4 linked regions of the Diceros bicornis minor genome follow. The protein of the gene in region 3 interacts with the protein of the main gene of each other region in a biochemical or structural test. Links are inferred from orthologs where the notes say so. Each region holds a gene or a part of one and is shown on either strand. Other genes may lie near its edges. The genes, in order: IER3, ESR1, MAPK1 and MBP.

Region 1 (6,499 bases), on a different chromosome or scaffold from region 3:
TGTTTAAAATCACTTGCATTGGCTGAACAAGAACTAGGAACGCAGAAGACTGCTTCTCTGGAGAAAAGAAAAAGCCACAAAACCTGCCTGAGATGGAGAGGGAGGGAAGAGGGGATGAAAAGAAAAAGAGAAATTGTATCTTTGATGATCTTAGCACTTGCAGGCTATTTTCTCATCCTGGTCTCCTACTCCTAGGTTAGCTCATGGCTGCCCACATCTGCTTCAAAGTAGCCCTCTTCCCATAGCCATAATAATGGCCACCACAGCAGAAGCACCTACTGTGTGCCTAGGAGCAGTGTAATCATATCCTTAATCCCTGCAATAACCTGACAGCCAAGTTGCCCACTTTTCAATTGAGGAAACATTTTCAGAGAAGTTAAGTAGCTGGCCCAATATCACATAGTTAATAAGCAGCAGAGCTGGAATTTAAACTCAGTTTCCTCTAACACCACTAGATGATAATATGCTCTTTTTGCTACCCCATGTTTCCTCTCTGTTTCAAACTCCTCTCAAGTGGACAAATAGTTATTCCACATCTACTAACCTCCAGGTCCAGCTCAGAGCATCCAGTTTTCATTCCCTGAGTCCCCTGGCTGCATCCCTGTATCCCTGCTTCCCTCTCTCAGAAGCTCCCACATCCAAATATCTGTCTCCATCTCCCCTGCCCATTCTGCCTCCTTCCCATTATCTTTGTCCCCTAGCCAAGCCTGTGGTCAGCCATGCAGCAGTACTCCAGGTGGAGCAGCAGGTGTGACTCACTCTTATGTCAGGGACTTATGAAGGGTGAGGGCTTTGCCATGTGTCACCTGCACAGTTAGTCCTGATCCAATGGCAGGTCCCCCTGAGCCTCAGTGGAGCATCTCCCAAACTCCTCTTTGAAGATGAAGCTTGGGGGCCTCGGAAGGGACACAGCCATACAGACACCTCAGTGGAGACCGATTTAAGAATACTGATTAAGCCCCTACTAGGTGAAAGGCCAAGTCCTGGAGATCCCACAGAGCTATCATGAGGGAAGGGCGGATGTGGTCCTGTATACTCCAGGAGATTATATTCCCGTGGGAGAGACAGACAACAACAAAAAGTAAACAAATCCATAAAATGATTCCCCACTGTGGTGAGTGTTACGAAGAAAATAAACAACGGGCTAAGAAAGAGGTTATGGGAGGTCAAGAAATGAGGAGAATGAAGGCACACTGTGATCTTGGGAAGATGGGGAGGAAATGAGGAAAGCTGGAAGTGGAAGAGGCTAAGGGCCTGTTCCCGTAGGATTGGGGCAGTGAGAACCGGTACAGCTGCTGGTCTCAGCCCCTGGTCCTTTCTGGTCTTAAATCGTCCCCCAGCCCTCAACCCACATCCCCTCATGGCTTAATAATTCACTTTCAACCTTTCTCCAGCTTCCTGTGTGGCAGGAGGGGGCGGGGCAGAGCCCTGGCTCTCTGAAGGTAGCAGGAATGGGGATGGGATTGGTTGAGAAGGAATGGCCAGCCATCCGGGTTCTCCGCTTCTTCTCTTTGTCCCATTTTGGTCTTGCCATAAAGAAAGATCTCTCTGTGCCAGGAGGATGGTGAGGATAAACAGGCCCAGCTGGAGGCCTGGATTCCAGATGTGGGAGGTAGAGTGAAACAAAGATCCTGACATCTTCCCTTCATTTCCCCTCCCCTGCCTAATGCCCTGGAGAAATTTTCCATCATAAACAAGTTATGCATTCCTGACCTTGGGTGCCTCCCCCTCTCTCCCACCAGCCAGTTTTCTTCTATCATCACCATCTCCCCTCACTCCCAATTTATGTCTCTGTGATCATGTGAGCCTGTCCACACTTACAAGTAGTCATGTATTTATGTTGATCATTGTGTAGTGTGCCACTTGTCTTAGAAGAAGGGTGTAGGTTGGGGTGCAGGCTCACTGTGCTTGGGTTTTATAAATGTAAAGATGATGGTAGGCGTGGGAAAGGGATGTGTCTTTGTTTGTAGAGGAGGTGGGTTTTATGCCTGTCAGGAAGAAGTGTGTAATGCTCAAGGGGCCTCGTGTGTTTAGACAGGAGTAGTGGGTGTAAAATAAAGTGACACGTAGACCCAGGAAGCAATTGTATATACAGTAATTATGTATCTCCAATTGTGGGGCTGTCCCCTTTGCCTCCCCACATATCCTAGGTTGAGAAATGCCCTTAAGTATTCCTCATTTGGTGTCTGTATAAGGATTATCACAGCTTTTCTTAAGATGTTGTAAATTGTATATGGAGTTTGAAGGAGTGTGTCCATGTCCCAAAAGCTTGCGGTGATCCAGCCAGTGTGTGAATATTATATGTGCATTTATAGTTCTGCATTTTCATCTTTCATTTATCAAGATTCTTAATAATGGGTTCTATGGAGGACACAAAGATATGTGTGACACAGCCTCTAATGGAAAAGGTCATACATATGCTTGCCATGTGCACCAGGCATGATATGATCTGGTGTAAAGATCTGAGCCAGATGTATTTCGAATCCCAGGAGTCAGCTTTGATCCTCTCATCGTCTTGCTGTCAGCACCCCCACTCTCCATGCTCCCTGACTCCAATGATACCCATCTTATTGCTAAATTCTGGTGATCTTATGCTAGGAAGGTCTCTTATAGCCACCCCTCCTCTTGGTTCCCTCTGCCATGGCTCATTTCAGGCCCCTGTTTCTTTCTACCTGAACCTTTCCAATAGCCTCCTGTCCTTGCCTCAGTGTCTCCCCATCCAGGGCATACTCCTCATCCCACTCACTTCCCACCTTGAACTGCCTTCCTTTTATGTCATCCTGTGACCCACACACTCCACAGTCTAGAGTCAAACCCAGTCTCCTGGCCTGGCAGCTAAGCTCTCCCCACTCTGCCCAGCTCCTTCCAGCCATCATTACTTCCCACTTCTCCTTTACGGGAAACTCACTCTGGGACTGTTTTTCTTGTGATTCCCCCAAACACATCCTGTACTTTTCCAGCTCAAGGCCTTTGCTGATTCCATTCGCTTTCTCACAGTCATCTTCCTCATCTGACTCCATGATGCCGCCCACTGTGCAAGGTCATCTCAAATGCTGCTCTTCCACAAAGCCTCGCCTAATTGATTAGAACACTAGCTCTTTTGGGTCCCCCTTATACTTAGTCTTCTATTTTCTTAGGACCCTCCAGGGAGTTCTCCTGGTCAGAGTCCCCTCCCTCTGCCAGAGAGTAAGGTCCGCAAGGCTGAGGTGCCCGCTGTCTCTGGCTGGCCCCACTCAGCAGCACACACGCTGAAACCAACCTCAGTACTCTCAACAGTGGCTTTAACAGGATGCCTGGCCCCCAGAAATGCTCAAAAGATGTTAAAATCTGTGTCCATGAGCAGCTGTCTCTAAGGCAGTTATGAAAATGTGTTCATTCTGTCTTGAGCTGAGTTATTACCGTTACCACAACATCTGCGTAACCTCTCAGTTTAAAATGTTCTTCATGCACATTTTGTTACTTGATCCATACAACAAGGGGCAAATCTGGGTGGCGCTTGCCTTTGTGTTTTGTGGTCCTCTGCACCAGCTCTGTGTCAACATTTCTGTACACATCTAAGTGGGTAGCTTTGCTGGGTTGTCCCTGTGCAGTCTCTGCACTTTTGCCCTGTGCGTGTGTGTGTGTGTGTGTGTGTGTGTTATGTGCATGTTGAAGGGGATCAGAACATGCCACCCTAAAATGTGCCACTTCGGCATGTGGATTATTTTGAGCTGGAGGCAATCAAGACCCAGCAGACTCAGGAAAAACTTTTTACTTCTCCCTTAACTGCCTAAAAGAATTTAGATAGGGGGCCTGGCCCAGAAAAGAGAGCTATTACCAGAGATAACTTTTTTATCTGAAAGACTTACCTGCATGGTAGGGCCAGCATCTGATTACCAAACACCTGCTCTCCTTATCTTCCTGTGAATTGCCCCCCTCCCCTTCAAAGCCCCAGGCCCCTATCCCATTTCTTAGCTCAGGATGGCATATAAGCCTCAATTGCTTGACTGCCTTTGAGTCTCCTGTCTTGGTAGGCTCCCATAGGTACGCAAATTTGTTTTTCTCCTGTTAATTTCTTATGTCAATTTAATTATTAGACCAACCAAAGAACCTAGAAGGAAAAAAAGAAGGAAAAATGTTTCCGCCTCAACAATGTGGGGGGGTGTGTGTGTGTGTGTGTGTGCCCGCTAAGGCAGGCAGGGTTGTGTCTGTGTGTTCTAGCGTGTTCATTTCTCTTCTTCTTCTTGGCTATTTCTTACTGACTTCCCTCGTCGGGTGTGTGTTTTCTATGTGTATTTACAAGTGTGTGAATGTGCGTGTGTAACTGTGGTTCCCTGACTTGCTGGGTCAGTATTGTGGCCAGCAGTTTGGGATGGCCAGACTTCTTATGTAAGCCCTCCTGCCTCCCCAGAGATGCGGCCTGTGGCTGAACCATCTTCTAAACTCTCTGTGGGACCCTCTCCAGCTGCTACATGTCCCAACATGTGCCTGCAGCCCGGCATTTCGCCCATCCCCACTCACAACTCTCCATACACACTTGGGTGCTTAGGGTTGCACAGGCCAACTCTCCACCCCCTCCCTTTGCTTCATCCGCGGAATTTCCAGCCGGCTTCGGCTCCGGCCAACCGCTCCGGGCCGCGGGTGGAGTCGAAAAGGGCCCGCCCAGTTCTCTGGCGAGTATAACTAGTTCAGCGCAGCTGCCGCTCCGCACTCGGTCTTCTGCTTCGCTTGGGACAAAATGTGTCACTCCCGCAGCTCCCTTCCCACCATGACCGTCCTGCGATCCCCGACCTCCGTCCCTTCCACCAGCCCGGGGCCCAGGCGGGGCTCCGGTCCCGAGATCTTCACCTTCGACCCTCTCCCGGAGCCCGCCACGGCCCCCGCCAAGCGCCCTAGCGCCTTCCGTGGGCACCGAAAGCGCAGCCGCAGGGTCCTCTACCCGCGAGTGGTGAGTGTCGTCGAAGTGGACAGTGGGGGGGGGGAACGGCTGGACGCCGGGGCCCTGAGCTGACCTGTTCCCTTTGTTGCCTCCCCTCAGGTCCGGCGCCAACTGCCCGCTGAGGATCCGAACCCTGCCAAAAGGCTCCTCTTTCTTCTGCTCACCGTCATCTTCTGCCAGATCCTGATGGCTGAAGAGGGTGTGCCGGCACCTCTGGCCCCGGAGGTCGCCCCCAGCGCCGCGGCCCCCGCGCCTACCCCTGCGTCCCCGGTCCTCGAGCCCCTTAATGTGACCTCGGAGCCCTCGGACTACTCTCTAGACCTCAGCACGTTTCTCCAGCAACACCCGGCCGCCTTTTAACCGCGACTCCCCACACTCCCGTAAAAGAACCTGAAAAATTAAAGAAACACCAGGTGTACCTGGTGCGCGAGAGCGTATCCCAAACTGGGAGTCCCGAGGCAACTCAGACTCAGAGCAAACACTACAGCGGAGACGACAGCCCGCGCCTAGGAGGAGGCAAGCGCGACACGCCAGGGCTGGGCCGGGCGGAGAAGGAGAGCGGCGTTAATTTATTTCTCAGTGCTCCTCATTAATATTTATATGTATTTATGTATGTCCCCCCTAGGTGATGGAGGGGTGTATGTAATATTTATTTTAACTTATGCAAGGGAGCGAGATGCGCTCTCTTGCTGCAAGTGCAGATCTCTCGGTATTTATTGAGCTTTATGGGATTGATGGAGGCGGGGCGCCTAGAAATGAGGGAAGCAGGGAGAGGGAATGGAGAGGACCCGGGTCCGGGAGGGCCCCCGGGCTGAGAGTCAAGGCCGGTGGTGGGTCGCAGGTTTACGGTTGGCCCTTTTCGTCCTCCAGCATCTCAACGCCGCGAGTCTACTGTGTGAGGCTTCGGCGGGCCGTTGGGAATACGGTCTTTGGCCTTCGAGCCCTTCGAAGTTGCCCCCAAGGGGTGGCTGCGGGGTCGCGGGTCAGTGAGCTGTCAGGGGGCGGCTGTGGGGTCGCCCGGTATGTTCTGTGAACACAAATAAACTCGATTATTGTCCGCAGTCATTTGAGTGTGTCTTTGCAAGCGACAATTCCCCACTTCTGGCGCCAGGGACCGGCGCGGGGGGCGGGGGGGTGGGGAGGCCACGTCCCCAGCAGGCGCTCTGCCCCGGGCCCCGAAGCGCCTCTTCCCGGAGTCACGGAACCCAGCATCCGGTGACCGGATGCAGTCGTTCGTTGCCCAGTCTGTGGTTTCCCCAGGTAGCGCGAGGCAAACCCGAGATGAGGCAATCTCCCTGGGGTGACCCACGGAGGTCAAGTCCCGCGCCCGGGGGCGGAGCGCGGAGCGGCCTGGGCGGGGCTTCCGGCTCGGGAAGATCGGCTCGCGAGGCTGCCCCGGTGGGCGGGGCGGACGGCGGGCTGCGGACCCGAGCGGTGCCTGCCGGGAAAGGGGCGGGCCGAGCGCGCGGAGCCGAGGGGTGGAGGGTGGTCCCTCGCGGGGGCGGGGTTGTGTCTGTTGCTGCAACAGGGTGCGGCCGGGTGGGGGGCGCGAGCGCGGGCCCAGGTTCCAGGAAGGCCGTG
Region 2 (6,934 bases), on a different chromosome or scaffold from region 3:
GTGGGAGGAGGGAAGAAGCAGAGGTCCCTAGGAGGCTCTTACAACAGGTAAGGGAATGATGGGCTGAAGGAGGGTGATAGAAGTGGAAGGAAAAGGGAGAGATTGCATAGCTCGAATGCTGCAGAATATGGAAGGCAAGAGAAAGACAGCCCTCAAAGTCCTCTGGCAAACAAGCACTAGAAGAAAATTGGCAAGGTGCAGTATCCTTTCCCACCCCCATCACCAAGCCTGGAGGACGAATCTTACCAAGGAGGGGAAAGAGAATGCTGGAGAGAAAGTGTTTAAGAAAACTGCCCTTGTTGGACATCTTGGACTAACTTTCATCGTTAGCCTCATAATAATCAAAGTCTATGAAGAGATAGCTAGACATCGTATCCTTCCTACGTTCAAGGAGAATAGTTGCAGATTCCCCTTCCTTTCTCTTTCTCCCTTTCTTTCTTCTTCCTTCTTTATTTCTCTCCTTTTCCCATTCCTTCTCTTCCCTTCTCTCTCCTCCCTTCCTTGCACATTCTTGTTTTATTTTGGACTGGTCTACTGCATGGGTGGCCACCGCTGACGCAAAGGAGGAGTCAGGATTCACCATCGTCACCTACATACAAAGGGTAACTGGCTTACTTTTCAGTGTTTGACTTTATCGCTGATTGTAGAGAGGGTTCTTCTGTGCTCCAATATAGCAATATTTCAGGCCTTTCAAAGTACAAAATAAATTTTGGCATTATGACATCATTAACATTTTGTAATTTTTTTTTTCAAATAACTTTTTACTTCTTTCTTTACTTCAGAGTGGTCTGAAGAGCCACTCATAAATCTCTCGGTAACTGCATAGGGTCTCATGGCCAGAGACTGGCCACTCCTGGCATTGTGATTAGGGTCATTTAATACCCAAGGGAGTGACTAATGTTTGGCAGCAAAGGGTCCACTAGGTGTCACATGTCCTGAAACCCTAGGCGAGGGCACACTAGGAACACCTTATTATCGTGTGTTAGCATCATGGTCAAGAGAAAAGTTGAAGACCAGATGGATCCATGTGGGCATCATTGGGAAATGAGAGCCCCATCCCCATGATCAACGCTGGCACAACCAGAGAGCCTAAAATCAGTTTAAAACAAAGGCACCCACCTTTGTCTTATCTTCGTACCCCAGGCTTTTAATAACATATTTTTTCATATGTTTACAGAAAACAGTCAACTGAGCTATTCGTGGAAAGGTTTGTGGGTTTGGTTGATGAGGTGGAGGAATATTACATTTCAGCTGGAAACACATCCCTAGAATGCCAAAACATTTATTCCAAAGTCTGGTTTCCTGGTGCAATCGGAGGCATGGCAATAGTGTGTCTGTTCGGAGACCGGGAGCTTGGGCCAGCAAGGCATCTGATCCAAGCGTATCCCAGAAGGCCTTTATTGTTAAATTATATTCTTCAGGAGAAACCACCCATGTCACATTTTGTAAACTTGATAGCCATATACTTTTGACTGGCATTCTATTTTAGCCGTAAGCCTATGATTTACAGCAAGCCTGTTCTCCCTGTTGCTCAGGATGGCAGTGGAAAGCATGGGGCACTTTCAGGCTCCCAGGATAAGGAGCAAAGGATGCTGGAGTTTGCTTCTCCCCAATAATGCTGACTCTAGCTGTGCCACACTGCTCCCCATGAGCAGACAGCAAGCTTCTCCTCACTCTCCACTGCCATTCATCCAGCTCTGTGCAGCAGCCCAGCTGCTGTGTCTGCCGGGAGGGGCTGCCAAGTGCCCTGCCTACTGGCTGCTTCCCGAATCCCTGCCATTCCACACACAAACACATCCACACACGCTCTGCCTCGCTCACACACGGAGCCACCCGCACATGTGAGCACATTCCTTCCTCCCTTCTCACTGTCAAGCCCTTGACTTCTCCAAGCCCATGGAACATTTCTGGAAAGACGCTCTTGATCCAGCAGGGTAGGATTGTTTTGATTTCTCTCTTCGTAGCTTGAGCATTTTGAGAAAGCAACTTACCTTTCTGGCCAGTGTCTGTATCCTAGCAGGGAGATGAGGATTTGCTGTTTTCCATGGGTTTATGTGTGCGTCTCCTTTTTCTTTCAAGACTTGTAGGATTCTTTGTGCAATTTCTATATAATTTGGCAGGTTCAGATTTTTAAGAGCCCTATGAAGTGCTTTTGCATGTGTTTAAAAAAGACATCTGAAAATTGGAAGTGTAATTTACGAAAACGAAATCATCTGTAAAAAAATTGCTTTGGAAAGTAATGGTTGCTGGCCATAAAGAGAAATATCTGTGATTCACCTAATGTGTTTTTAACCCTTTCTTTGCTTACAATGGATAGTTATTGATGCTAAGCTCAATTTTAGCTTCATAATAAATCAGCTACATCTGCATATTGTCCCCCAATAGTCTGTCTGTTCTTGTAAGAATTAGGTAAAATGTGTACTTATTAGTATTAAAATATCCAAAAATATTGCCATTAGTAACAGCAACCTTGGCATCCTTATATGCCATGAAGATTTGTCAGGTACTCTGTTGGGTGTTTCGGATAGCAATTACAGCAAAGTATTAACGGTTGTATCTGATGGTCATATCAGAGTCTATTAGGCTGGGGCAAAGGAAGTTTATTAAAAAGTATAAACTATCCAAGAATATGGGTGCACAGTATATTTACCTTATGTTTTTGTTTATATATGTGTGTGTGTGTATGCTTACCTTTTAATTCAGTTCAAAACTTTTTTCTATTCCTTTTTATCTGGATATTTGATTCTGCATATCCTAGCCAAAGTGAACCGAGAAGGTCCAGTTGTAGAATTAAAGAACAGAAATGTACCATTGCATTTTAAAATTTCTTGGTTCGACCAACAGTGTAACATAATTGCCAAGAATTTGGTTAATGACCTGAGGTTACGCCTTATATGAAAAGGTCACATTTCATATTCAGTTTTCTGAAGTTTTGGTTGCATAACCTGTGGAAGGCACGAACCCCGTGTGCTCCTAACCAAAGGTTTTTGTGAATCATCATTCACATGAGAATTCCTAATGGGAGGAAGTACAGTGCTGTGGTCCAACACAAACATACAAGTCCGACTGGGAGAATCTCAGAAGGTCCTGGCTAGAATGGACCACTTTGGAAGAATTTTGCGGATAAGGAAACTGAGGTCCGTCAGCATTCTCCAGATTGCAAAATGCAGCTCTTCCTATATGTACACCTTAAATCTCCACCCGCTTCTCCCTAGATGCCTTCTGTCAGTCCCTGCAGCTGCTAAATATAGCTGTCTGTGGCTGGCTGCATATGCAACCGTACACCCTATTCTATCTGCCATATCTCAGTTACAGAGTGGTCCTCCCCAGGGTCATTCTATGTACACACTACATATTTCCAGCCAACAAGGAGAGTGAATCAAACAGAGAGAGAGACAAACAGAGATAGATTGGAGTCTGGCACGGGGCACATAAGGCAGCACGTTAGAGAAAGCCGGCCCCTGAATTAGTCTTCCGAGTATGTTTTAAACCCCATCTTCCCTGGGCCACCTTTAGGAGATTGCTCGGCGCCCCCGCCCTCCTGCACTGAAGTTCAGCCTCCATCCAGCAGCGACAAGTAAAGTAAAGTTCAGGGAAGCTGCTCTTTGGGATCGCTCCAAAACAAGTTGCGCCCGGAGTGATGTTTAAGCCAATGTCAGGGCAAGGCAACAGCCGCTGGCCGCCTTCCAGCACCTTTGCGATGCATATGAGCTCGGGAGACCGGTACTTAAAGTTGGAGACCCGAGCCCGGGAGTTGGCGGAGCGCGCTCGCGCGGGGCTGCACTTGCTCGCGTCCGGCCGCGGGCTCCACGGGACGGGCCGGCTCCCGGGGCAGGGCCAGAGCCGGTGTCGCGGCGGGACATGCGCTGCGCCGCCTCTAACCGCGGGCTGTGCTCTTCTTCCAGGTGGCCGGCCGGCTGCTGAGCCCTCCGCCGCGCGGGGAGACGGTATGCGCCTTGCCCGCGGCCACTGGCCATGACCATGACCCTCCACACCAAAGCATCCGGAATGGCCCTGCTCCACCAGATCCAAGGGAACGAGCTGGAGGCCCTGAACCGCCCGCAGCTCAAGATCCCCCTGGAGCGGCCCCTGGGCGAGGTGTACGTGGAGAGCAGCAAGCCCCCCGTGTACGACTACCCCGAGAGCGCCGCGTATGACTTCAACGCCGCGGCCGCCGCCTCCGCGTCCGTCTACGGCCAGTCCGGCCTCGCCTACGGCCCGGGGTCCGAGGCGGCGGCGTTCGGCGCCAACGGCCTGGGGGGCTTCCCGCCGCTCAACAGCGTGTCTCCGAGCCCGCTGATGCTGCTGCACCCGCCGCCGCAGCTCTCGCCCTACCTGCACCCCCAAGGCCAGCAGGTGCCCTATTACCTGGAGGACGAGCCGAGCGGCTATGCCCTGCGCGAGGCCGGCGCTCCGGCGTTCTACAGGTACCCGCGCCCCCCGCCGCGCCACGTCGGGGTGGCCGCCGCGCGCCCGGCGGGCGGGAGGGAGCGGGGAGCGGGGCCCGCGCCGCCCCAGCTCGCCGGAGGCCGCAGGCCGCGGGGCCCCGGGCGCAGGAGCCGCGGGACGCGCCACCCCAGTGCCCGCGCGCGGCCGGCCCGGGAGCGATTTGCGGATCTCGCCTTCCGAGCGTCAAGTTCTCTCCCCGGGCGGCTTAAAAAGATTCTCTTCTTCACCCGCTGCCGTCTGCGTGACAGGCAGATCCGAAACCCTGTGCGCTTCCTGACTAAGCAGATGTTGGAAAGCCGTACAGAGCAGCAGTTATTTGCGGGGGAAACACCCCAAAGCAAATAAACACGGGGCTCTCTGAGTCCCTCGTAAATGTCCAGCTGTGGTATTTCGGGCTAGAGGTGTTTGGGGTTCGCGGACGTCAGAGTTTCATTTGTTGTTAGTATTTTAAAATTTTCTTTTAATGTGCTTGCAAAATTACCTTTCATCTAGAATTTCGGATTGGAAACATGCCCACTATGGTGGTGATGATGATGATGATGATTTTTGGGGGAAGAGATTTGTAGCACCTGCTTTCCCTCCTCCCATCGCACGCTCCAGGGCTTTAGGACTGAACTGCGCTCCTCAGGAGAGCAATACAGGGGTTGAATGGGTCTTAACAAGTTTCTGATTTCCCAGTTATCTGGCTGGGTCCGTGTTGAAGCAAATTGCTGGCATATGACTTCTGACAGCCGGGAATTTATAGGTGTCCTGTGAGTTTAAAACATGCCATATCGAAACACGAAGGTTTTGGAATACTCTCCTGCCAGCTAAGTTCCCTTTCTGGCCTACCGGGCAGAGAATGCCCCTGGTGCGGGTGCCGGGTCAGCTCGGTTCTTCACCTTTCAGTCGCTCTGGAAGAAGCGTTGGCAGTCCAGGACACAGGGGACACTTCTGTGACTTCCCTGTGACTTGTGTCCTTATTTTTTTTTTTTCTAGTAGACGTTATATTTTCCTCCTCCTTGCTCCTCTCCTTTCTCCCTTTTCTTGTTGATGGACCTGGGAAGGGTGTGTATTTCTGAATACCTGTGCCCTAGGCGCCCGCTGGACCAGATACCCTGAAGTGTGTTTGGGAGGCTCCAGGGCGCACACGTGGCTGGGCGCTGAGTTAGGCACTGCCTGACGGTACATTGGTGTCTGGACTTGCCTCCTGCCCTCGCCCAGATCCTTCTGCATTGCCAGCTGTGGACCGTTTTCTGTTTAGTATTCTATTTCCAGGGATATTTATAGCAGAAGAAACAGGAGGAAGGTGCAGATTGGCCTCAGAGAATACTGAAGGGCAGACTCTTGGGGTATCTGAACATACTTATATCCCTCAGCCTCCTCAAAGGACTTAAAAGCATCCCACAGCTAAGCAGGTCCAGCCTGAGTTATTATTTAAAAGACAAGCGATGAACAAAACTTTAAAAAGTTGGCATATTTCAAATTAATTTCACTTGTTTTAATTCAGGGTTAAAATGGAAAGAGAAAAAGAATTTATTCTGCCCCTCCCTTTAAAAAGTGTTAGAACAAAATATAACGATTAAGTCTAATTCACACAACATTTTAAACTCCTTGATGTGAAGAAAGGCACTGGTGTGAGATGAATTCCATAACCTTATGGTGGACTCCGGAAACTATTTTCTTTTCCATTTAATTTTCAGTTCTTTTATTGCAAATTAATGCCACTGAAATTCAATGGGCACTAATGAGACTGCTCCTTGGTAGATTATTTACTGCCTTGCTAATAATTACGAAGTGAACACGGTCAAATGAAGAGGGGATCACATTTTATTCAAAATTGTTCATCATCCCATAGCAGATAATATAACTATAATATGCCCCATCTTAAACTTTTTGCATTTGATGATATTCAAATACTTCTAGAATAATAAAAGAAATGACACAGAACTTTTAAAAATAAAGTAAAAAACTCACGCAAATGGGATTCTGTGTGGAAATTCAGTTTTAGAATGATTTTTCCTTTGTAGTTTACTTCCCGTAGCATCCTTCCTTTTTTGTTTGAATTCTGCCTCTTATTACCCAGGGAGGAAGTGAAGGGTCTATGCAAGTGTGGTTTCAAATGGTCATATGTTATTTAATATTTTTTCCCTGTCACTTTTCCTGTTTGAATAACTCTGGGTAAAAAAGAAAAGAATTGATTAGACTGTTTAAAGAACATTTAACTTTCTTCAGTAGTTATAAAAAGTTTTAGGGGCCGAAAGCAGTGTTTTCAAACTGCTTGTCATGACCTAGAGTATCATGAAAATGAGTTTAATGAGTCTAGAACTTTGTGTTGTTAAGGAAGAAAATAGAAAAGAATATAAGAGAATATACTAGAGGGCATAATATTTAGTAAGGGTGGGTTTTGTTTCCTGAAAATTTGTTTTAATTATACATACTTGTGTGTGCTGACTGTGATATAAAATATATTTCATACTGTGGGTTGAGGTCAAAGAAATTTGTA
Region 3 (7,788 bases):
ACAATGGTACATATTCAGAGTTTGTCTTTTGATCTAATCTGAGATTTTCATAGTTTTATACAGGAATTTTAGCTATTTATGTTTTTCTTATTTATTTACATTTGCCTTATTTGTTACACTTTGTCTTAACTTCCCATCATCTATTTTTTTGGTGTTTTGGCATTGTTTTTTATGATTCCTTGCCATTTCCTCACATCTACAATGTGAGGAAAGTGTCTAATACACTTCTTGGTACAGGACTCTTGATTTCTGCTGTGTGAATTACATTTTCCCTTTTATCTCCTATAATAATTTATAAGGTAGACATAAAGCATTTTACACTAAAAAAATATGAAAATTATACTATTTTTAAAAATAACTTTTATCTTCACTTTATGTAAAAGACTTAGTGCCTTGCTTTTTCTACCCTCTTTCTTCCTCTCTGGTTTTCATTGAATTAATCTGAGGTTAAAAATCCTCTGTCTCAAATTCTTTTCTTTTGCATTTTGTTTGTTACCATAGTGACAACAATTATTTCAACTTATCAGCATCAAACAGTCTCTACTGAGTGGTGTTTTTATTCACTTATCTCTCTATCTTTAGCTGGTTTCAAGGCTCAGTGCCAATTTTCTCTCATTTCATCATTCATGAGTTTCTGATTCATGTCTCAGTGATTTATTATAAAATTCTGAGCAATTTTTGCAGAAAAGGGAGTTAACTGGGTAGTGTGTTAGTCACAAACTCTTGTGGTTTCAAGTTACAGAAACCTACCTTAAATTGACTTCAGTAAAAAAGAGAATATATTGGCTCACGAACCTGTAAAGTCCAGGCTCAGTTGAATACAGCCTCAAACCGTGTCATCAGGAAATTGTCTCCATCTCTGGGCTCTGCTTTCCCCGTCTTACCTTCATTCTCAGAGGGCACTTCTCACATCAAGGCATGTTTGGCCTGAGACTCATACTCACTGCCGTAGCACCCCAACAGAAAGGAAGTACTCCTTTCTCATTGTTTCTGCCAAGTCTGGGCTGAGTGTCACTGGCCTGGATCAGGTCACATGCCCATCCTTTGAACCATCTGTGACTCTGATTAGGGAGCCCTGGGTCACATACTTACTCTTGACTTGGGGGTGAAGAGTGCAGAAGGGATGGTTCACCAAAGTAAAATTGGTTTTTTGCTAGCAGAAGGAGGAGGAGTTGATGCTATATAGGCAAAAATGACAGATGTCCATTGTTTTCTAAGATTCTGCAGATCTGTGAACTGTCACCACTCTAGAGAGGCAATAAGGAAGACATCCAGGTGGCCAGCTGGCCATTCAAGCAAGGTCTTCTGCTTCTATAGTGGCTTAGTATGGTTCCAGAGCCTAGCCCTCAGCTTTGCGCTTCCAGAAATTTGTTGTTGTCAATGTAGCTAGATGATTGTTCCCTCTGGGCCTGCCTCATGCTAACCTGACTCAGCAGAGACTGATGTATATCTAAATCCCATCTTAGAATGAACAGTAATTGCCAAAGGACCTGAATAGGGCTGTCCTCTGGTCAGTGCACTTTCCCTGTCAAAAACCACAAGTGAAGCCAAACTTTAATCATAACGTTACTTAGTTCCCATGGAACCACGCAAGAGAAGTTCTCTGGAGAAAATTAGTGGTCAGATGCATCATGCCATGATAGTGTGGTGGCTTTAAAATGTCCACAAATGCTGGAAGAGTGGAGAGAGAACACGTTACAGGGAGAGAGACAGGCATGTGGTGACACTGAAAGACAAAGAGAACTCAGAGTAGTCCAGTCTGGTTGAAGCATGAAGCACAAGGAAGGCAGATTAAGCAGAGTGGTGGGGGAGGGGTGGTCAGCAAAGGCCTCACTCTGAGTGCAATGGGGAGCCACTGACTTGCTTTAGGAAGGGGAGTGACATGGTCAAATGTGTTATGGAAAGATTGATCTGGGTATAAGGAGAAGCAATTGGAGATTGGCAACACTGAAAGCAGAAGGGTTAAGGCTATTGTGGTAGCCTAGGTGAGAGTTGATGCAGCAGGCTTTACGCAACAGGATGGCAGTGCGGGTGAAGTGGATTCATTTAAAACAGTGCTTTTCAAAATTCTGTAACTACGTATGGCGACAGATGTTAACTAGACTTATTGCAGTGATCATCTCGCAATATATACAAATATTGAATCATTATGTTGTACACCTGAAACCAATGCAATGTTGTATGTTAATTACACATCAATAAAAAAATAAAAAAGAAAACAGTGCTTTTTAAAGTTTAATATGCATACGAACCACCTGGGGATCTCGTTAAAATGCAGATCCCGATTTAGTAGGTCTGGGGTGAGGTGCTGCATTCCTAACAAAATCCCAAATAATGCTGGTGCTGCTGGTCTGGAGACCACACTTTGAGTAGAAACTATTTCAGAAATATTAAAGAAATAGAATTTATATGAGTTTGTGACTGGTTGGAAAGGGGGAGGGTTGGGAGCGAGGTAAAATGAGTTGTTAAGGATCATACCCAGACCTCCAGCTTGAGTATCTGGGTGGTGATGCTATCCAAGATAGAAGATGAGGAACACGTTTCAGTGGGGTAAATAACAATAACAGATAACATTGATTGGATACTTACTATGTGCCAGGCTCTTTACATATATTGTCTTATTTATTCTGTACAACAAACTTATGAGGTAGGTACTATTGTGATCTTCATTTTAAGAGCGAGGAAACTGAGGCCAAGCTCATATAGGTACTAAGTGGAGCAGCAAAGATTCAAACCCTCTGGCAGTCTGAGTGCAGAACTCCTCCAGTTAACCACTGGCAGTCTGGATATATGAAGTTGAAGCTCTTGGAGGATGATGTCACATGGAGCTGTCCAGTGGACAAGATGACTTGAACTTCAGGAGGCAGATTCTGAGCAACAGTTAAAGACCTAGAAGGAATCAAGGCATTGGAGGGGATGAAACCCTCCAAGGAGGGTTACAACCTACCCCCTCAGAGTGCTGTCAATCTTGTTCCATTTTCCTTTCCATTTAATTACAGAGGAGGAATCTAAAGAAAACCAGTTTTTACCATAATCTTTTTTTTCTGATTGGATACTGTGTTTGTTCTTTACCCCCGAAATTATGTCTCGAGGTTGGTTTCTGCTCATTCATTTTTCGGCATCCCAGCGAACTCACCCAATTTTCCATCTCCACCTCAGATCTTTTCAGACCTAAGGCAAGTTTTCTTTTATTATCATTTTAATTATTGCCTCTAATTGATTTGCTCTGACTTCTGTTAGGGGAATTCCTATAGTTTGACTCTCCATGAAGTTTTCTTCTCAAAGAATTCCAGCACTTTGAATTTTTCTTATATTTATCTTCTATATTGCTGATTTGCTCTGTTGCATTATCAAATCTGCCTTTTACTGCTTTGACCACTGAATTTTGCTTTGGTTATAGTGGTTTTAATTTCATAGTACTCTCCATTTACTTTGGCCTGTTCTTTAAAAGACGCAATGTCCTCTTATAATCAAGAATAAGCATTAGGTGCTTTCTAAAACTGGGTTCTGCTTCATGGACTAAATATATTTCAAAGATTAAGTTTCGGCTCTAGCACTTTCTTTCTTTTCTCATGTGCCACATATTTTTTTCCTATGGGGTTTTTTAAAAATTTGCTTAATCACCTTTGAGACTGACTACTTGAACTTCACTGATGTCTGAAAGTCCTGAGTTGATGGCTTTCAAGATCACAGTATTGGACAATCAGAATGCATCATCTCCCACCCTGACTCCCCCTCCAAAGATGGCATGGGAAATGGTTCAGAAGCAGGGGCTCCATCATTTTCTGTCTCATTGTGTTAGCTATTCTTGGCATTCATCTGCTTCAGGATTCCGATTTTTACTTTTCAACCTCTGGTGTGTGTGACTATTTCTGAGCCCAAGTGTGTTTGTCTCATTTTCTCTAGATATGGATGTTTTGGTTTTAGCGTTTTCATCTTTGCATTCATACTTCAGTATGTCCTATGTCTAAGATTCTGTGCATCTGTGCAATCTGGGTCTCAGTTTCTGAATCTCAATGTCTTTCTCTAGTGTCTCACTCCACTACTCCCTAACTCCCTACTCTGCCTTATACTTCTTCATAGTACTTACCAGAACTTGAGTATTTCATATGTATATATTTCTATTTAATCTATGCCTCCTTCTAGAATGTAACTTCTGTGAGGGTGCATGCCCAGGGACATGGCAGGTGCTTCACAAACACTCGTTGAATGAACCTCTGTCTGAGTAACGGATCCTCTCAGAGTCTCTCCTTTTGGTCTCGACCTTTGTATTTCACACTTTCTTAGTACGCAAACGTCTTTCTCGGTCTCGGTCACGCCTTTCGGTTCCTATCCTCGTCTCGAGGCCTCTAAGTTCGTGTGTGCACCACGGACCCGCACACGCCTGGCGCAGACCGCGGCCGTGTGTGGCGCGTCCTCGTCTCTCACGCGCAGTCCCCGGGGGCTCTCTGGCTCCGCCAGAACCCCCACTCTGGGTATTTCCCTTCCCCTGACCGTCTGGCAAGCCACGTCCCAAATCTGTCCAACGCCTCCGTAACCTCCTGCATCTCGGGAACCGCCTCCCGCGCCGACTCCCCCGCGAACACACGTGACCACGCAGGGCGGTGCCTCCGCCGCCGCCGCAGTGCTTCGCCCTGAGCTCGCCGCTTCCGCCGGCCCGCGCAGCCCTGCCCCCAGGCCGCGGGGAGCCAATCGGCGTGCACGCTGCCTGGCCCCGCCCCGGCGCCCTCGGCGCGCGCCCCTCCCTCCGCCCGCCGGCCCGTCCGTCAGTCAAGCAGGCAGTCGGTTCGAGGGATTGTTGGGTGTCGAGTCTTCCTGAGCGGTGACCTCCTTGCTGCTTCCCGGTCAGCGGCGGCGGCTGCACCGGCGGCGGCGCGGTCCCTCCGGGAGGTGCGGCGTGGGCCGAGCGGCGGCCGCGGAGCGTCGAGCCCAGCGCGGCGGCGGCGGCGGCGGCCGGGCAGCCAACATGGCGGCGGCGGCGGCGGGCGCGGGCCCGGAGATGGTCCGCGGGCAGGTGTTCGACGTGGGGCCACGCTATACCAATCTCTCGTACATCGGCGAGGGCGCTTACGGCATGGTGTGGTGAGTGTCCGCGCTCGCCCGCAGGCCCGGCCGCGCCCGCCGCCCACCGCCCGGGGCCGCCGCGGACGCAGCTGCGGCCTCGTCCGCGCCTCGGCCTCCTGCGCCGCCGCGACCTCGACCCCGGGCTTCGCCGCGGTCCGCGCACCGGGGGCCTCGGGCGGGGCCCTGGGGCCGGGCGAGGTTTGCGTGTTGCTCGCGGCGCTTCGCGGGTCGACCCTCACCCGCCGCGGGGAGGGGCGCGGGGGGCGGGGGTCGGGACCAGGGACTCCCGGAACCGGGCGCAGCGCGAATTTCAGAGCGAGGACCCCCGGGCAGGGAACGGTGGCGCCTCCCGTCCCCCAGTTTGCCAGCCTTCTTTGCACATCCGATTGTAAAGCCAGGAATTCCTTCAGATGTTTGTCGGTGGTGGCGGCGGCCGTGGTCTTGAAAGCGGTTCGCCTCGGGGTGTGTACAGAATGCCGAAATAATCACATACGATGTTCCTCCCGTCGCCTGTGTTTTCCGCGAACGGCTTTCATGAAACATCTTTAGTGGTGCTAATGGTGCTCTCCTGCGCAGGCTTTCTAAAAAGCATTAGCGGCACCAGTGCTGTTTGTGGAATATTTCAATCTCGAAGTTTTTAAGTGGATTTTAATATTTTACTGTTTGCGTTTCAGGAAGAGTAAGCCAGCATCGCTCTCTTGATTTATTAAGGAGTCATCTGGAGTTGGGCCTAATTTGACTTTTTTTTCTTTGCCTCGAGTGAGCGCTCTTATCAGCATAAACGTCTCCAGACGTTTTAGCACAATTACTGTGGACTTTTCCTATTAATGTTTTAGTGGTCAGTATATATACAGCCTTAATGGAGTTGTTGCAGAATCACGTGCAGGCTCTCTCATCTTGATCCAGATCCCTCAGATTGTGGAATGGAGGTGACGGTATTGTTTTTATTAGAACCAACTAGCTGTAGTGTTTTGTGCTGATGAAGACACACCTAAATCTTACAGCTAAATCTTCTTGTGTCTTTTTGTGTTGATTGTAGGAAGCAAATTAATATTTATTGAACACTTGGCAGGTACTGTGCTAGGTACGTTATCTCATTTTATATGAACAGCTACCTCAAGAGAGGAAGAGGTGGTAATATCCCTCTTTCAGGTGAGAAAGTATTTCGAGGTGAAGCCAATCCCTAAGGTCATAAAACTAAAGAGTCAGACTTGATATTGTAGACTGAGATCCTACTTCAAATGCTGCAGCTCTTCCTATTACTCCCTGCTTTCCTTAAATAGTATTATTAGTAATTTTAGAATTTTAGTATGTTTTACTGTTATAAGCAAATCTATTTTAGAAACACATTTAAATTTGAATGATTATAATTTTAGAAATGCCATAGAGAGCATGTGTTACTAGGTATCATAGCTAGACAGAAAGACTCATTAAAATTCTTTTTTAAAATGAAGGCCTAATAGGGACCGGCCGGGTGGCGCAAGCGGTTAATTGCGCGCGCTCCGCTGCAGCGGCCTGGGGTTCGCCGGGTCGGACCTCGGGCGCGCACCGATGCACCGCTTGGCAAGCCATGCTGTGGCGGCATCCCATATAAAGTGAGGAAGATGGGCACGGATGTTAGCTCAGGGACAGTCTTCCTGAGCAAAAAATAAAAAACAAAAAGAGGAGGATTGGCAGATGTTAGCTCAGGGCCAATCTTCCTCACAAAAAAAAAAAAGGACTAACAGATTTTTGAATATTTTCGTTTTCTTCTGGAGCAAAATGCTTCATGGTGTCCAACTGTGGAAATTAATGTGAACTCAGAGGCTTAGGAGCCGAAAAAGAAATTAAATTAGGTTAAGTCTAAAAGAAATAAGGCCCTAGAAAGTAACAGAGAGCAAGTACTGCCGGCAGCATCACTTCTCTGCATACATCTGATTGCTCTTGCACCTGCTGGTGAGGACGCCTGTGAACGTGTCTCATTGTGAAAGGCTCACAATTGGCCATCACATTCCTTTGACCCTTTTAAAAAATGTAACACCTGAAATATGGACTGAAAAAATTTTTAGATTTAGGACATTTCAGTTGAAAGTTTTTTTTCCTATCTGATAAGATTTTTACTAGTCTTTAGATGATTTAGATCTAGTAACTGTTTCTGTCACTACTGTAGAGTTATTTGACCTAAGTCTCTATCAGGTGAAGTGCCAAGTACTTTTGCTGTAATTTCCTTTACCTAAGTAAAATATGAATATCATTGGAATTAGAATCCTGGGTCCAGATTATAGTTTTTTATCTTCAGGTTGATGATATACCCTAGTAAGAATTTAATCTACATTATACATTATTAGCATTTAGTAAATGTTGATTAACAGTACTGGGTTTATGGAGGGCTTTTGTTTGTTTGTTTTTTGTTTTGTTTTTTTGAGGAAGATTGGCCCTGCACTAACATCTGTTGCCAATCTTCCTCTTTTTTTCTTTTTTCTCCCCAAAGCCCCAGTACATAGTTGTGTATCATAGTCCTAGAGTTGCAGCTCTTCTATGTGGGGTGCCGCCTCAGCGTGGCTTGATGAGTGCTGAGTAGGGCCGTGGCCAGGATCCGAACCGGCGAACCCCAGGCTACCAAAGTGGAATGGGAGAACTTAACCACTACACCACTGGGCCGGTCCCTATGGAGGGCTTCTTGATTGAAATGTTAAATTTTTTTTTTTTTAATTTTATTTATTTATTTTTTCCCCCAAAGCCTCA
Region 4 (7,498 bases), on a different chromosome or scaffold from region 3:
TCTGCAAAGACCCTATTTCCAAACGAGGCCCCACTCACAGGGACCTGGCAGGACGAGGACGTAGCTTTCTGGGGACACAACTCAACCCATAACAGTGAGTTGTTCTCAACAGAAACGAAGTTTCTTCACCACTTCAGGTAAACTGCAGAAAACGTACGCCTGGTGGAGGAAGGCAGATCGGGTGTGTGGGCAGGAAGGAGAGAGGACCATGTAGAGAACAGAGGTGCAGACACACAAGCCGCCTCGCCTCACAACAGGCGCCCCGTGGTGGGCAAACCTTGGATTTGATGGTCACTTTGTGTTTTCCCTCCATAGGACTTGGCGGTGGCTCTCACCTGCGGCCCCACCTGTCTCCTCTCACACAAGCACCTCCTTCGCACGTGTCGTCCTGTTTGCTGGCTACTCTTCCCTTACCCCCTTCATCTGGCTAACTCCTACCCATCCATCAAAACCCTCCCTTCAGAAAGCCTTCCCAGACCCATGTCTCACCACCGCCCCCTCACGTGGCTGCCCTTCCACGGTGCTCAGCTGGCTCACCACTCTCCTTCTTCATCTGGCTCTAAGGATGCACCTTATTTAATTGCTGAATAAATAGTTCTGAATAAATAAATGAGTGAATGAATGAACGAAATGCTTGATACATGAAATCGTCAGTTAATAAAATACTTTCTTCTCTGGAAGTGGAATCATGGTTATTTACAAAGAGTGTAATAAATTGGGGCCTGGGCTGTGGCGTCCACACTCTCGACATTTCCTGATCCCCATCCTTCCATTTATCATTCTAACCGACCTTCCAGCTACCACTGAGGCATAACAAAGCATCCCAAACCTAGTGGAGTAAAGCAACAGCCATTTTGTTATGCTCCTGGATTCTGGGGATCAGGAATTTGGAAAGTGCACGGAGCGGATGCGCCTTCCTGCTCCGTGAGGCTGGGAGCTCAGCTGGGAAGACTCAGGGGCCGAGGGGGACGGGGACAGAAGTGTGTCTGAAGATTTGTCAGCGTGCGCCTCCCCTGGGCTGTCAGCAAGAGCACACGCAGGTGGTCGCTCCAGGTGGCTGCCTGGGCTTCCTCAAAGGACGGTGGCTGGGTTCCAAGAGCGAAAGGCTCAAGAGAGAAAAGGGGAACTCCAGGGCATTGTCATGATCCAGCCTCAGAAGTCCAGAGCCTGACTCTGTTAGTGGAGGCAGTCACAAGGTTCACCCAGGCTCACAGGGAGGGGACACGGACCCCACTTCTCCATGCCATGAGTCACAGTCACAAAGGAAGGAGAATATGTGGGACTGGAGTTGGTGTCAGGCCATCTCTGGAAAATACAATTGCCAACTAACTCCATCTTATGGTATCTACTCGCCAGTGCAGTGAGCCCTAAGAAATTAACAGGTATATTGAAAAGTAACCCATACGTAGTTAGGGATCTTACTGAAAAATACAGAAATTCTAGAAGCAATTAGAATGGTAGTTAACTACCAAGTATGATATCTATTGAAATACATAGATTTCCTTCTCAAATACAGAGAATCGCTAATATATATCTGTAGCTCACTAAGAACAACTTTAATCTCTATGGATAGCAGTTTGCTTTTATTTTTATTAACAAAACTATAGAACTATGGTTAAAGAAAAATATATATACAGTATATACACACACACTTTATAAAACAGTTTAAAAATACAAGAAGTTGATGGTAGAAAAATGTATGAAAGATTTTTTTGTTTTTTCCCACATAACCAGAGACCTACAAATTTCCTTTTCTTTCTTTTTGTCCTGATGTTTCACCAGAGGTGAAGTAACAAATGGCTTTTTGTGAGTGTGTTTCTTGTTGTGTGCATGTGTGTATGTGAACGTGTGTGTGGTTGTGGTTGTGTGTGAATGTGTGTGCGGTTGTGTGTATATGTGAATGGACACATAGTTGTGTGTGTTTGTGGGTGTCTGGTTGTGCAGGCGTGTGTGGCTGAGCCCTCAAGTGTTTTCCTTGTTCATATAACGGCTTTTTTTTCTATGTTGCATTTTCTGGAGTTCGTGCACCTAATTTTCTTCCACTGACCACAGCAGAGGCCATCCAGTTATTAACTGGAATTTATGGTGAAGTAGTCAGCCCTCAACCCTGTACAGGTAGATTATCTGCTTTACGAACATCACCAGCAAATTGTTAATTACAGACCAGGATGAAAATGAAGTTCAGGTCTTTTCTAAGCAAAAATATAATTACAAAGGTAAATCTGTTGATGGGGAAAGTAAAGAAAACTCAAAACGCATGCAATCTGGTCTACTGGAAATTATTTACATTAATTTACTTACTTCCTTTAGTTTGGGTAATTTGGAGTTTAATTCGACTTAATAAAAATTTACTGAGTGTATATCATGCACAAAACATTGTGTTATTTGCTGCAGTATGAAAGACTGAAGGTTCCTTCCCTCAATATCTGAAGTGAATGAGAGGTAGAGGGAATTTGCAATATGATTTTCCTAAAAATATCGAAGAGACGATGAGGCCTGGATCATTCATCCTTTACTTGTCAAAAGACTCCCTTCAGTTTCATTCAGCAAAATGAATCTGTCATTTTGCTAAAAGACACAGGGCCATCTTTATGCAAAGTGCAACTCCCCATGGTGATGTGCCGGCCTATGTATGCCTCCTCCACCTAGGCTCCTCTCCCTGGTGGGCCAGAGGGGAAGGTGCTAAGACTGGACCTCCCAAATGCCCATCCATCGCTCTATTAAGCAGTGGTCCTTCCTCCCTCACAGACATTTTCCTTGAAGTACCCATGAATGTGGGGGCATTATATCCCCACAAAATATGCATGGTGGAATTTTACAAATACTTAAAAGAGTTTTAACTGGAGCTGGCAAGCCTGACATTTGCAGAGATGACTGTTGGTATGTGTAAAGTCTCTATAAACCACAGAGAAATCAGCAGAAGCAGCATGAAGCAGAAGAACAAAGGATGCTGTTTCAGAGTGGTCTGTGCGCCTCTCCAGCCTCAGCCTTCACCGACATCTGCAAGTCAGGAACCCCAGTCTCCTCGGCATCCCCATCTCCCCAGGAAGAAGCAAAGACACATCTGGGGAGAGGACAAGCTGTCTGTGATGCCCAAACTGGAATCCAAATGGAACCCAGGTCCTGGGTCCCCTGGCCTGAGCTTTAAGGAGTTGGGGGCGGGGCTTAAGAATGACTTGAGCCAGGGACCTAGGAGCTTCCCCAGTTAGACTCACTGCCCTGTGCGCCCTCAGTGTCTGTCAGGCTCCCTCACTCCCCCGGTTATCCATTCCTGAACGTCAGTGTGAAGGCACGGGGCAGAAACATTGGGAAGGAGACAAACTCGATGTTCCGCACAGCCAACACCCCTTTTTCCCTGCCCCTCCTGACCTCCCACCTCAAACTCCGGGAACGCCCACGGTTTCTCCTCTGGCCACTTCTCTCAGGAAACGATCAGATTACGCGTTCATATTACTGTGGACATATTTCTCACAGAATCACCAGCATCTGAACATAGTTGATAAATCCCCGGGGCTGTGAGGGCGGCTGGTCTGGGCAGGCAGCCCTGAAACCACACTAGGAGTCGGCTCTACTGTCCCCCGCAGAGCTGGCCCAAGGGACAGGGGCTCCCTGAGTCTTGCCAAGCTCCAGACTTCCCCTCTCCGTCATAAACACCGTGTGGGGCCCCGAGGGCTTCTAGGAAGTATCGTTCAATTCCCTAACCCAGAATCTAAGTCAGGAGGGAGCTAGGGTCTCAGGCGGCGTCTCTCCCCCTTCCTCCTACTTTCTCACCATCAGGAGGAAGCCAAGAATCCAGGGGAAAGGGCCCTCTGACTCCACCAGATCTGTGTGTCCAAGTGACAAACGGACCAAGAGGATGACACCGACCACAAGCCAATAGATGCCTCGGCGCCTCAGGACCCAGGTTCGCCCCTCCGACTGTGCCTGTTTTGGTCTGTTTTACCAGCGCTCTTCTCCCGCCTTCTTCGTGGAAACCTGTGCTCTCCGGCGCAGCACTTGTCAGGGTGCTGGGACCCTGCAAGGCGAATGCCCGGGTGCTCTCCAGGGCCCGGCCTGGCACAGGGCGAGCACTAGAGACGCGGCACTGACCGGGCAGTCGGAGCCCGCGCTCTGGCCCTCGGGCGCCTGCCTATGGAATGGGGCGTGGAGGAGATGCTATCTCCCGTCCCTCCCGGCCAGGTCGGGCGGGGGTAGTTTCAGAGGCTAAGCCACGAGAAAAGGTTCAAAGAGCAGTTCAGCGGCGGCCCCACTCCGGCCCCGCCCTCCCAGGGCTGACCCTGCGCCCCGGTCCCCGCGTGTCCCCGGAGCTCCGCGTGGCAAGGCCGTCCCGCAAGTGGTCCCCAGCCCGCAGGCAGCGCCGGCCGGGGGCGGCAGGTGGGCCGGGCTCCGCTCGAGTCCGCGGTGTTTACCTGGCTGGCTGGAGCCCGGGAGGCGGGGGAGGGGCGGAGACGGGGCGGGGTGCACGCCCGGCCCGGGAGCAGCAGCAGTCAGTCACCGCCGCCGCGCGCAGCGAGGACGAGCCTCCGGCCCTGGCGGCCCGCGTCTCCTACCCCGGAAGGCAGTGCCGGCGGCCCCGGGACCCCGCGCTGCCCGCGCTTGGGGCCTGGGCGGCGGAGAGGCGGCCTGGGACCCCGAGGCGCCCATCGGCCTGGAAGCAGCGAGCGCAGTGCGGTGGGTTATCCTCGCCGGGGGCGGGGGGCGGCGCGGCGCTTTGTCTCCGCGTCCTCAGAGCGGGGGACCGCGGGGACCCGGAGCCCGGGACGCGGGGCTAGAGGGGGCGGACGCCGGGGGCTCTTTCCCTGCGCCGGACTCGGGGCTTTCCCGGGCCAGGGCGCGCGGGGCTCCCCCGGGCAGCGGCGCAGGTGGAGAGGCAGGTGGCAGCCCCATGGCCTCCCTGCGAGGGAGTGGGCGCGGGTGTAGACGCCAGTCTATGGCGGCGGGGCTGGAACCCGACGGATTTCCAGGTGTGGTCTCTGGCCGGGCCGGGCGACCGGGGTGGCGGGAAGAGCGGGCGGCCTAGAGGTGGGGTTTCGGGGTGGGAGGTGACACAGGTCAAAGAGGCCGCTCTGGGCGGTGCGGAGACGGGGCTAGGGGCGAGCCGACGGGTGGGCCGGGGTGCCCACCAGCGTGAAGTGCTTCCTAATTCCCCGCCTGGAGCCCAGCGGACGACCCCGCCTCCCCAGCCCCAGACGAAGCACAATTTCCCTTTGAGCGACGAGGGCGGCGACAGGCGACTCGCCTGGCTTCCGCCTTGGCAGGGCCTGTCCCGCTCGGGCCGCACCGCTGGCAGCCACCTGCGCCTCCTGTAACCCACCTGGGCCCACCTGCAGCCATCTGCGCGCCTGGCGCCGTGACCCCTCCTGCGCCCCACGCGCCGGGTTCGTTGTTCCAGAGGGTGTCGTGTGTTCCGCTGTCACTCCGCTGACGCCCGGCTGGCTTTGGTCTTGTGGGATGCTGGTGGTCAGCGCCTCATTTCTTTTAGGGTCTACTCGCGTCCCCTGTTTCGGAAGGCGGAATGGGGTTTGGAAAAGTATTTCGGTTTCTTTGGGGATCTCCGTCAGACTGGCAGGAAACAAGCGCGTTCTGGTTCCTGGTTCTCTGTTTTCCAATTGCGACAACGTGAGAATCAACAACATGTGTTCAGTTTATCTCTGCGTCAGTGGAAGGCACGTGAGAGAGTTGGGATGTGTTGGGAGGGCTGTAAACGTGGTCCGGGGGGCCTCTGGCTGTTCTGGCAACGGACACGGACAACCGGCTAGGAAGAGAGTTTTTCAGAGGAAGGGAACTGTAGGGTGCTGCCTATTTAAGACCTGTGGGTTTGGAGAAGATTGTAGCCCGCCAAGCCCTTTACACTTTACAGACTGTCACCCACGAGTCAGGGACCACCCTGAATCCGGCTCAATCCTGCACCACAGGCCGGCTGGCAGGCCCCCCCTGCGTGACGTGGGGGCCTTTTTAGACCTTGGGGCCCCGTGTGCAGAGCTGGCGAGAGCCTGGAACAGAGCAGCCCTCAGTGAACAATGACCTGCAGGGAGGCCAGTAGCCTAATAGCTAAGGAAAAGTGCCCATCGGCGGTTTTATTTTTTTAAGTGGGATAAACGAAAACCTGAAGGGAGAGAAGGCAGTTAAAGATTACTGTAAAATGTTGGTTAATAGTAACTCGCAAGGGTTTAACTGTTCTGAAATGACTACTTTTATTAAGTAGAGGTTAAACAAAAGTTATTTGGTTCAAATCCGGTTTGAAAATCTTTCTAAAGTATCACATCTCTGCCCAAAGATAAGAAAATTTAAGAAATGTTCCGTGTTGCATGTTTAGGTGTTGGGTTGCTCCTCCGTGGTTTTGAAGGTCAGGGCTTGTGTGTCGTCCATGCTGGCAATGACTGTGCTGAGTGAAGGTGTCTACTAAAAGCTGAAAAGGAGTAGAGACCAAGCTTTCTTATGACTTCTATTTCTGCTTGAATTTTTAAACATTAATTGAAAGTTATTCTGTTTGATTTTTAGTTTCTCTCTAGATTCTTTAAAAATTAGACACAAGATTAGCAACTGCCTCTGTGCCTTTTCTATCCAAGTATCCAGGTAGCATTTATTGACCCCTTATGAATTGCGGAACTCTCTTCTGAGAGCTGTACCACGTTATTAAGAGTCAAGACGGGACTGGCCTGGTGGCATAGTGGTTAAGTTCATGCACTCCCCTTCAGCAGCCCCGGGGTCAGTGGTTCTGATTCTGGGGTGTGGACCTACACACCGCTCGTCAAGCCACGCTGTGGCGGTGTTCCACATACAAAATAGAGGAAGATGGGCACAGATGTTAGCTCAGGGCCAGTTTTCCTCAGCAAAACAAAACAAAATGTCATGACTACCTTAGGATACCCTCATCTGATAAAACTACCCTATAAATACCCTCGTTTTTACTGACGAGAAAGCCAAGGCACAGAGACACCCCAGGAGTTCAGTTCAGTTCCAGGAGTCTCCCACCAGCCCCTAGTTGCAGCCCTGCCCAGCCTCGGTGAATAGGACACCTTGCAGACTTGCAGAGCTGCCTTCCATTTCTTTTTCTTTTTAAAATCCCACCTCTAATGAGAGACCACACCCAACACAATATGCTTCCTCTTCAGAATGATTTGACTCTACGGTGCTGTCGTGTGTCTGTTAGTCATCCTCTCCTTAACTTCCTTAGCTATCAGTAAAGGAGGAAAGAAAATATTCTAATTACTTAGCATAATTTTTATTAAGTGGTTGTTAAGCAGTAAGACACTTCTATTGGTCCATTAGAGCTACTGAAGGAAGTTTAAATGGGCCTGAGTTTGGGGGCTTTGGGAGCTGGGTTTAACACAACAGTAAGCATAGAGGGAGACCCTCATGCTCCCGCTAAGCAGAGATGCTGGATGAGCAGCTAGTGCATTCTCCTGAGCAGATTTCAAATCTCCATCTAAACGTGTAGCAGTCAGGCTTCAACCAGAGAAACAGAACAAGAGGAGATAGGTGTTAGCGACTTACT

The links.
Region 1: of the proteins of MAPK1 (region 3) and IER3, one has a biochemical effect on the other in vitro, tested with the Homo sapiens proteins (2 studies listed by BioGRID and IntAct). The link is inferred for Diceros bicornis minor from reciprocal best matches to the Homo sapiens genes MAPK1 and IER3.
Region 2: of the proteins of MAPK1 (region 3) and ESR1, one has a biochemical effect on the other in vitro, tested with the Homo sapiens proteins (3 studies listed by BioGRID, with this or other methods). The link is inferred for Diceros bicornis minor from reciprocal best matches to the Homo sapiens genes MAPK1 and ESR1.
Region 4: of the proteins of MAPK1 (region 3) and MBP, one has a biochemical effect on the other in vitro, tested with the Homo sapiens proteins (16 studies listed by BioGRID and IntAct). The link is inferred for Diceros bicornis minor from reciprocal best matches to the Homo sapiens genes MAPK1 and MBP.

Annotation. Positions count from the first base shown.
Region 1 is NC_080753.1:34,380,550-34,387,048, forward strand, and holds IER3 (radiation-inducible immediate-early gene IEX-1), read left to right. Parts: upstream 1-4,684; 5' UTR 4,685-4,717; coding exon 4,718-4,927; intron 4,928-5,017; coding exon 5,018-5,278; 3' UTR 5,279-5,979; downstream 5,980-6,499. UniProt on the Homo sapiens protein: May play a role in the ERK signaling pathway by inhibiting the dephosphorylation of ERK by phosphatase PP2A-PPP2R5C holoenzyme. Also acts as an ERK downstream effector mediating survival.
Region 2 is NC_080778.1:16,963,447-16,970,380, reverse strand, and holds the start of ESR1 (estrogen receptor), read left to right. Parts: upstream 1-3,916; 5' UTR 3,917-3,975; coding exon 3,976-4,427; intron 4,428-6,934.
Region 3 is NC_080774.1:30,335,445-30,343,232, reverse strand, and holds the start of MAPK1 (mitogen-activated protein kinase 1), read left to right. Parts: upstream 1-4,766; 5' UTR 4,767-4,966; coding exon 4,967-5,082; intron 5,083-7,788. UniProt on the Homo sapiens protein: Serine/threonine kinase which acts as an essential component of the MAP kinase signal transduction pathway. MAPK1/ERK2 and MAPK3/ERK1 are the 2 MAPKs which play an important role in the MAPK/ERK cascade.
Region 4 is NC_080755.1:65,461,265-65,468,762, reverse strand, and holds the start of MBP (myelin basic protein), read left to right. Parts: upstream 1-4,490; 5' UTR 4,491-4,671; intron 4,672-5,114; exon of another isoform or gene 5,115-5,378; intron 5,379-7,498. UniProt on the Homo sapiens protein: The classic group of MBP isoforms (isoform 4-isoform 14) are with PLP the most abundant protein components of the myelin membrane in the CNS. They have a role in both its formation and stabilization.